Linked DNA regions of Oryzias latipes. The protein of the gene in region 1 interacts with the protein of each later gene in a pairwise test. Links are inferred from orthologs where the notes say so. Each region holds a gene or a part of one and is shown on either strand. Other genes may lie near its edges.

Region 1 (4,610 bases):
TTTGTGTAATCATTGGTAATCTAAATTATAATTAAGAAAAAAAAAAGTAAGAAGAAGTATGCATTGTATTTATATGGAAAGAGCAAAGATTGACAATCCTCACCACTTTTCCCACCCGCTTTTCTTTTATATCATATTGAAAACCAGGAGAGAAAAATAAAAAATCTGGCTAGACCAAACAGCAAATTTGAAAAAGTTGTAAAATTAAGCCTTTTTTGTTTTTGCTAAGTAACCTTAACATGGAGGTACCTTTACAGTCAATGTGTGCGCAATTTCCTTTTTAAGCAAGTATTCATTTAGGCAGCAACTTTTCAAAAAAAAAAGTTTATAACTGTAGTAACTATATAAAGTAACAATTTACTTGCATATAAATTTAACTTGATCTTTAAATAAGAGTCACATCATTTTCTGCAGTGCGAGACCTGGATGCTTGACCACATTCAGAGTTTGATGTTTGGTGCTGTACGGAGCATCTGAGAACAAGTTCACGTAAATAAAACTTGATCCAGAAATTACATTCAAGTTTAGAACAAACTAAAAAATTGCTCTAAAACACTTACTATTTCCCCAAGCAGGACTACATTTTCTCCCCTGACGATGAAGATACCTCTGGGAATATCTCCAAATTTCTTTCCCACGTGGATACGCTCCACCGTCTGATGAAAGACTAAATTGGCTGTGGAACAAAAAAAAAAAAAAAAGAAAGAAACAAACAAATTTAGGACTATTGAAACACCGCGTAATCATATAAAAATAAAAAAATAAACCCGCATGGAAGAGTTTAGAAGATTCTCATTTTTTATTACCAAACTGATCGATGCTTCTCAGGTAACCGATTAGTGTTCTGCCATCTCGCAGCAGGACCAAGTGCTTTTCTGCGAAATTAAAAACATTTAAAAAAAATCTGCGTCCACACGGCACACGCTAATACATTGTGTCGTTTGTTTATGATTAAAAAAAGCAATTTCTATAAGGCCCAACTTACTGTCAATATCGTCAATGAGACTGGCCGTCCCTGGTACGTAATTCATGTTTAGTTGCAGTTTTCACGCGTTTAGTTGATTTCTGAACCATCAAGCCATGAATGTTTTTACCCGTTTCTATTTGACGGTGCACAGGAAGTGCTTTTATACACTTCCTGTAAACATTTAACCCCTTCCGCACCGTAATTGCGCATAGCTCGAATTTTCTAAAAATAACTGTGTAAAAATGATTTAAACAAAAGTATCATACATTTTATGATACAAAAAGAATTTTCTATAAAACATGTTTGGATTAAATGTCCCCATTTGATGATGGATGGTAACCCTTCCAACGCATGTGCCACATCAAAGATCGTAAATGAAAATTTTGAAAAGTTGCGTCACATGTTTAAAAAATACAACTGCTACAGGAGTAATTCAATAGTTGGTCTTAGCAGTAAAATATATTGAAAATAAATATCTTTAATTAAAAATATTCTAATTGTGTTCCCCGTTTCTGCGTTTTGCAATTGTAAGGTTTCATCCAGCAATTTCGATCAGAAAGTTTTAGAGAGTGACTCCTCTTTACTTGTAATGGTTCTACTCGACTTAAAGACGCAGTACCATGTCTCCAGAGTTCCGCGTCATTTATTCATTTCTTGGTTGCAATCAGGCGATCCTGACTTCTGCGGGGAAGCTGCTGCTTTGATCAGCTGTCAGATTTCTAGCGGAACCGTAAACTAGTGATAGTCTTGCTTATTTTGGAAGATGGCAAAATACGTGTAACTGATGCAGAAACCCCAAATGCAGCCAAACGGGAAAACTGGCTGGCCCTCTACTAACTCGGGAAATAGTCACGGAAGCTGCAGTAACACTATGGTAAGCGAGCAGATTAATTAAAAAAAACTTTACTGGGGGGAGGGGGTGACAGATCATATTGTGCTTTAAAGAAACAAAGATTAATTTAAAATCTCCCAACAATAAAATCCGTTTGTTCGTTCGTGCAGAAGTTCTTCGCAATGTTCATCATGCTAGCTTCATAGCTAATATAGCTAGCGGGCATTATGTAATAGTTACTGCTAGCTTATTAGTTAAGTCCTTGTTTTTAAATTACATTGACTCGAAAATATCGATTTAACACAACACTTCTGCACGTTAGGAGATCGTAGCGATCATATAGAGTTTCATGAGTTAATCATTGGTTTAGCTCAAATTATTTCATTCATTTAAACACAAGTTAACATCCATTTATTTAGTTTTCTAGAAAGACACGAGTATATGTTTATCAATGCGTTTATCATTTAAGTTTCTCAGCATCAAGTTCTCCATATCTCTATTTGAGATTTAGGATAGCTACACAAAATGGGTTGGATCACATAAAGTGAGTCGCTGTCTCGTGTCAACTTGCCTTTTACAGGATGCTCCTCAGTATCCAAGTTACCCTCCACAATACTGGTATCCGCAGTCCCACTCCACAGGGCCCTACGCAAATGCCTATCCTTCAGCGTCAGATCTGCATCCGCAGTACAATCCACAGGTACATCTCACTATACGAGCCATTCCTTTCCTTCAACATTTTAATATATTGCTCACTGTTTTGATTCTCATCAATTTCCTCATCTTTCTTTTGCACAAACACTCATAGTTGTGGTATCAAAAGTGCTGTTTTCACAGAGTGGTCAATTTCCTCTCAGGCTTGTCCCTGTTTTTCTTTTTTTACTTATTTTTTATTTTTAGGTAATGCCAGGAGGATATCCGAACGGCCATGGAGCGTACAACCATGCACAGAGTCCGTACCCGGCAAGTAGCTTCCACCCATCCAACCCCTTCTACTGTGCTGATCCAAGGAGAGCAAGTCCAAGTTCCTATCCGCACCAAGGCTGTCCGGCAGATCAAAGCAGCGAGCCGCCTCACGCTCAGCATCATCATTACACTGGTCCACACTGTCAAGGGGTGAGTTTATTTACGCATTAATGAGACACTCACATTACTTACAAAATACTTAAATAGAAGCAAAAGGTTCTTGGTTTAATATTTCAGTCTTTTTACTTATTATTATTTATATGAGTTTGCTAAAACAATCTTATGGAAGCTTGACGTATTTAAGGAATCAAACAAATCATTTTATGCATTTGACCAATCGGATGGACGCCTTCACATTGTTGACCAATCGGATGGTGCCCTTTTATGCTAGACGAGGGTTTACTTTAAAAAAAAAAATTTAAACCGTTGCAGTGAAATGGAAATGATGTTTTTGGTTGTTTTGGTGTGTTCACGTATCACCGCAAGTTATATCGTCATCGCAATATTGATCATCAATATCGCATATCACAAGTTTTCCTTATATCGAGCAGCCCAAATGTGTTTAGAAAGCACCAAAATGAGACATCCATTTCTTGTAATGTTACATTTTTGAGAATAAACATGTTTGTCTTGTTTGTGCTCTCAGGGTCCTGGATATCCTCCTGGATCATACCCACACTACAGTGAAGGTGGACATGCAATTCACTCGAATTCTCCTTACCCAACCGGCCAGGCTCTTCATCCTAATTCCCAGGCTGAAGCATGGGGACACCCCAGCCAGTATGCCCACTCACAGCAACAGTGGCAGGGAGGTCAGCAACCTCCCCAAAATCATTACGGGAATCCCGTCCGTCCACCTCATCCTCCAGCGTGGCCAGGAACCGGGACTGGTGCCCCACCACCCTATCAGCCCAAAGTAAGGCTCTGCAGCTGACGTGCATTGTGTAACAATTATTCAAGAGTCCGTAAGGAGATAAAAGCAAATATGTCTATCTTGTGTTGTTTCAGGATCAGCATCACCAACGCCCTCTGCAGGTGGGGCCTAAACCCAGGCCAACACCACCCCCTAATGGAAAGCCTGCTGAAATAACTTCTCCTCCACAAATCTACAACAAAACAGGGAGAGGTGATACTAACACCTCACAGGCTGAGCCCCCCCCATCAGCCCCAACCCAAGCTCCTGCACCGCCCGCAGGTCAGACCAGACAGCTGCCCTTGAGTGATAATCCAGGCCTTGCCAAGGTTCAGCATGTGATGACCAGAGTTCAGCTACTTCAGGAAGATGTTGACGAGTTTGTAGGCAAAAAGACAGACAAGAGCTACCGCTGTCTTGAGGAACTTCTGACCAAAGAGCTGTTAGAGCTGGACTCCGTGGAGACTCAGGGACAGGACAATGTTCGACAAGCACGGAAAGAAGCCGTGCAGAGAATTCAGGCCATACTTGACCAACTAGAGAAGAAAGCCTTCTGAAGCGGGCTCAATTAACTTGCTTGTGGACCACCAAGTTTTCTTATGTTCTCTAAGATCTTCCTTGACAAAAGTCCTGCTCTGCAGAACTATAACAATGTTCTTTTTTCTACCTTAAAAACATTATATGAAGAAATTACAGACCGAAGGAAGAGTTAGATGAAATTTGAAGGGAACTTAAAATCAGACCTACACATGAATGCCATGTCTTTTGTTTTCAAATCTACTCCTAATACAGATAAGATTACGGTCAAAGTTCTGCTTTGTCTCCATTTATTTGTTTTCACACTTTCGCATAGAAAAAGATGAAATCATTGTTAAATTCATTTAGATGGCCTCACTTGTTTGTTTGTTTTTTCAGGTTAAAAAATTGAAAAA
Region 2 (3,820 bases), on another chromosome or scaffold:
ACCCAACTGCTGCCAATCACCCAGGCGCTGTTTTGTAATCTACCGTTACCCCGGGAAACCGGCCACAATCATCTCAGAGGACAACTACATGGAAAAGGTGAGGAGGCACTCTGGTCACATGATGCCTCACACTGTGCTGTGATTGGCTGCTAACCCACTGTGTGGTCAGGTGATGCTGTGCTGCTCCATCAATGGTCACTACGACATAGTTTACCCGAGAAGTTACCCCGCCTCAGCTGCACTCTGCCAGTGTGAGTGTCCTCGTCATGCAGCGCTGCAGTGTGTGGAAACTCACCTGCTCAGGTGTGTGTGTGTGTGTGTGTGTGTGTGTGTGTGTGTAGCTCTGTTGTATGAGCTGCTGTACACGCAGGTGTTTGGCTTGGAAGAGGCGGAGCTTTTTCAGGCCATGGAGGCTTTCAAGGTAGGAAGTCGTCGCTATAGAAACAGCCCTTCTGTGTGCAGCGACGCCGACCCCAGCTATGACACACCTGATGACCGTGGACACAGGTACGTGCAGCAGCACACGCTTGTAGCTCCTCCCCCGCAGACTCTTCTTCAGCCTTTCTCTTGCAGGGAGGAGGCTGGCGGAGCAGGTGAGGAGAAGCCGTGCTCCGAGGAGGTGATGAAGGTAAAAACGGAGACGCGTGATGTAATAATTTACACAAGTGAACCAAATGAATCATTGCCCAGATTATTTGAATGTTTAAATACATTTGGATACCACGCAGGATAGAAGTTAAACATGGGGAAAACCCAAATACTGACTTTAAATTATGATCCACCAACCCACTACGTACCAAATTAAATCTCAAATGGAAAGGCATTGAATTACTTTAAGTCTCAGACTCTCCACTACAGGCGCTCATGGGAAACAAAGACACAGGGGAAAACTATGGATAGTGACACAACTGAAAATCTGGTCCCAAATAAAGGAGGAACACAGACTACACAATAACTTCAAAATTGTAAGATGATGCGCATACGACCATGATTTCAAGCCCAAGCAGTTAGACAATAGATGTCACCACTGGACAGTGCAAGGGTTAAACACATTACTCTTTACTCAACAAGGGAATAATGAAAGATTTCCAAACACTTAAGGATAATTATAACTTAGGGAAAAATGATTTTTACAGATATTTACAACTACATTAACAAAGAGGTCCTCCACACCATGGATACACAGGAACCAGTGCTTGGTGAAATATCAACAGCATGCAAAGGAAAATGTAAAAAAGGGTTTGATATCTAGACTTTACAAGGGATTTATGAGTAAAAAATGACCTCAACTCAATATATATAAAGTAAATGGGAGAAAGAAAGCAACACAACTACGACAGACGAAGAATGGAGAGATTGCTGTGTATCAGTGTGGAAATGTACAAATTCACAGCATGGAGAGAATTTAGATGGAAATGTTTGAAGTTTTTTATTACAACCAAACAAAAGAAACACGGCAATGGAGATAAAAACAAGTGCTGGAGGCAGAAGTAGAAACCAACCACAAGACACAACTCCCACCTACCAACGAAAATGTATTCAGAATATTAATAACTGCTGGTAAAAAAGCAGTGACTAGACACTGCCCCCCCCCCCCGTACCCTGCTTGGACAATTGGATAGACGTTGTAAATGAAATCTTTCAGATGGAAAGACTAACCTACTCACTTTGGATAGAGATGCCTACATTTTGGAAGATAAGGTCACAATGGCTGTTCTATGTTAATCATTTACTATTGGAGGTAATAAATATGTCTGGCTTATATTGATAACCAAGATGAAGGTTTTATTTTATTTTTTACTTCCCTCCCTCCCTAATAATGCATCCGCTGTTCCCTGTTTTGTGTCTTGTTAGATACTAAGTTCTGTTATTGAAAGAAAAGAAAAGAATAGTTGAGAATAGAGAAGTTATGGGTCCAAAACTGAATTTAAATGTACAGTTTTATAAATTTTTCAATACTCATAAATAAAATTTGGAGGAAAACAACAGACGCACCCACAGGCTGTGTGATGTCACATCCGCTGACTCTTCCTGTCGAAACGCAGCCTCCTGGAGAAGCCCCGCCCTCCTACAGACTCTCGCTGCCCTACAAAGTCATGAAGGCTCTCGATGGCGACGTCTACAGGAATCTGGAATTTGACGTGTGGCAGGACACCTGTAAAGGTTAGAACGGACCAGAACCTCAGTCATGTGACTGGACCACCTCCCAGCATGCACTGGGAGCTCACTGTAGTTTTCCGCTGTGATTGGTCACTTTTACCTTACATTGCATAAACCTGGTGTACCTCAAGCCAGATTGTATTTTCCAAGATTGATTCGTCTAACCCTACAGGCCGATTTGATTGACAGTTTGCCTAAGATCGATCTGATTAGTTAGATGTTATAGCGGACGCCACACGTCCAGAACAAAGTTCTGGTGGTTCTAGAAACAAACAGGGTTCCTGTTTGAGGTACACAGATGAACACAGCATGGATGTTCTGTTGGTTCCAGCTGCAGGTCTGTGTTAATCTGGAAACTGTCGACTCACAGAGATGCAGAAGACGGACTACATGGTGTTTGCCGGGAGGCAGTACTTCCTGGGAGACAAGTGTCAGGTGAGACCGCCTCACTTCCTGTCCTGGAGTCTGTAGACAGACTTCCTCCAGATTCCTCTTCCTCTTCAGGTGCGTTTGGAGCCAAAGGGGAAGTTCTACAACGCCTTTATCCAGGAGGTGGGAACGCACGCCGCGGCCGTCACGGTCTTCATCGAGGAGCTGGGAGAGAAGTAATATGCCGCCGCCCACTTGGACTGAACCAGAACCAGTTGGTCCAGCCTTTGACAAATGGATCTTTCATGCAGACACTTGGTTCCCCTGACTGATCTGAAACCAGTCAATCCAGTTCCTGCCTGGAATGTGGCTGCCCCCTCCAGGAAAGACCTTGGTAGGTCTGCTTCCTACTCAGTTTCAGACCCCCCACCACCACCTCCACCATAACCTGCCCCCGTTTGTGCTCCTCAGATCTAGACTCCCGTGGTCAACGCCACCACCGCCACCGCTACTTCAGAAAGTCCCGGGGAAACAACGTGGTGAAGGGGGCGGAGTTGTTCATGCCACCCCCCTCCTCTTATGGGGGCCCTGCTTCTTCTGTGTTGCCCCCCCGCTTTCAGCCTGTAGGGCAAGCACGCCCACCCCCACCACTGTCACCTGGAGCCTTGACCTACAACCCATATGCCCCCCAACATCATCCTGCCCCCACCGTCAGACCACCGAGATATGGATCTTCAAGGTGGGCCTGAAGCCCCCACTGTCACTTCTCCCCCCACATTGATGCAAACTGACGGTGTCTCTGTGTGACCTGGTTCCCGCCAGAAGCTCCTCTCGATTCCTGAACCGTCACCTGATGGGTCCACAGCTGACCTATTACCAAACGGGCCGGCGGTTCTACCACGACTACGAGAACTACCCCTTCAGGTCCAGGTGAGTGATATCAGCCAACACAGCCCCCGCCCGCCCGAGTGGCCGCCGCGGCCCCGCCATCAATTCCCCGCCGTCTGCTGGCTTCAGGACCACGGACAGCGGAGCCTCAGCTGATCCCAAACTCTGCTGATGGTTTTGAAAGTTGCTTTGAAATATTTAACTTTTCTGGGAAAGACCATCAGCAGGTTGTTGTTTTTTTCAGGGAGGGGCCATCAGTACAGCAGGGACCACTCCCCATTGTTAGATCACTTCTTGTATGGCTTAAACCCTGTTTCCTGTTTCCAGGCGCAGCCGGCGCCAGCTGGCGGCGGTTCTGAACAAGGATGGTCAATTTGGGTTTTCAGCAGAGGCGGTGGAGGAG

What was found.
Region 2: the proteins of bag4 (region 1) and putative bifunctional UDP-N-acetylglucosamine transferase and deubiquitinase ALG13 interact in binary tests that used the Homo sapiens proteins (3 or more experiments, as listed by UniProt). The link is inferred for Oryzias latipes from reciprocal best matches to the Homo sapiens genes BAG4 and ALG13.

Annotation. Positions count from the first base shown.
Region 1 is NC_019867.2:18,633,496-18,638,105, reverse strand, and holds the start of bag4 (BAG family molecular chaperone regulator 4), read left to right. Parts: upstream 1-1,579; 5' UTR 1,580-1,751; coding exon 1,752-1,841; intron 1,842-2,379; coding exon 2,380-2,499; intron 2,500-2,699; coding exon 2,700-2,915; intron 2,916-3,411; coding exon 3,412-3,681; intron 3,682-3,773; coding exon 3,774-4,235; 3' UTR 4,236-4,610. Other genes in the region: U6 snRNA-associated Sm-like protein LSm1, read right to left, coding at 561-676, 807-875, 986-1,031. UniProt on the Homo sapiens protein: Inhibits the chaperone activity of HSP70/HSC70 by promoting substrate release. Prevents constitutive TNFRSF1A signaling. Negative regulator of PRKN translocation to damaged mitochondria.
Region 2 is NC_019859.2:215,079-218,898, reverse strand, and holds part of putative bifunctional UDP-N-acetylglucosamine transferase and deubiquitinase ALG13, read left to right. Parts: intron 1-24; coding exon 25-97; intron 98-169; coding exon 170-251; intron 252-341; coding exon 342-507; intron 508-573; coding exon 574-628; intron 629-2,045; coding exon 2,046-2,163; intron 2,164-2,530; coding exon 2,531-2,595; intron 2,596-2,664; coding exon 2,665-2,765; intron 2,766-2,840; coding exon 2,841-2,923; intron 2,924-3,000; coding exon 3,001-3,268; intron 3,269-3,351; coding exon 3,352-3,459; intron 3,460-3,744; coding exon 3,745-3,820. UniProt on the Homo sapiens protein: Catalytic subunit of the UDP-N-acetylglucosamine transferase complex that operates in the biosynthetic pathway of dolichol-linked oligosaccharides, the glycan precursors employed in protein asparagine (N)-glycosylation.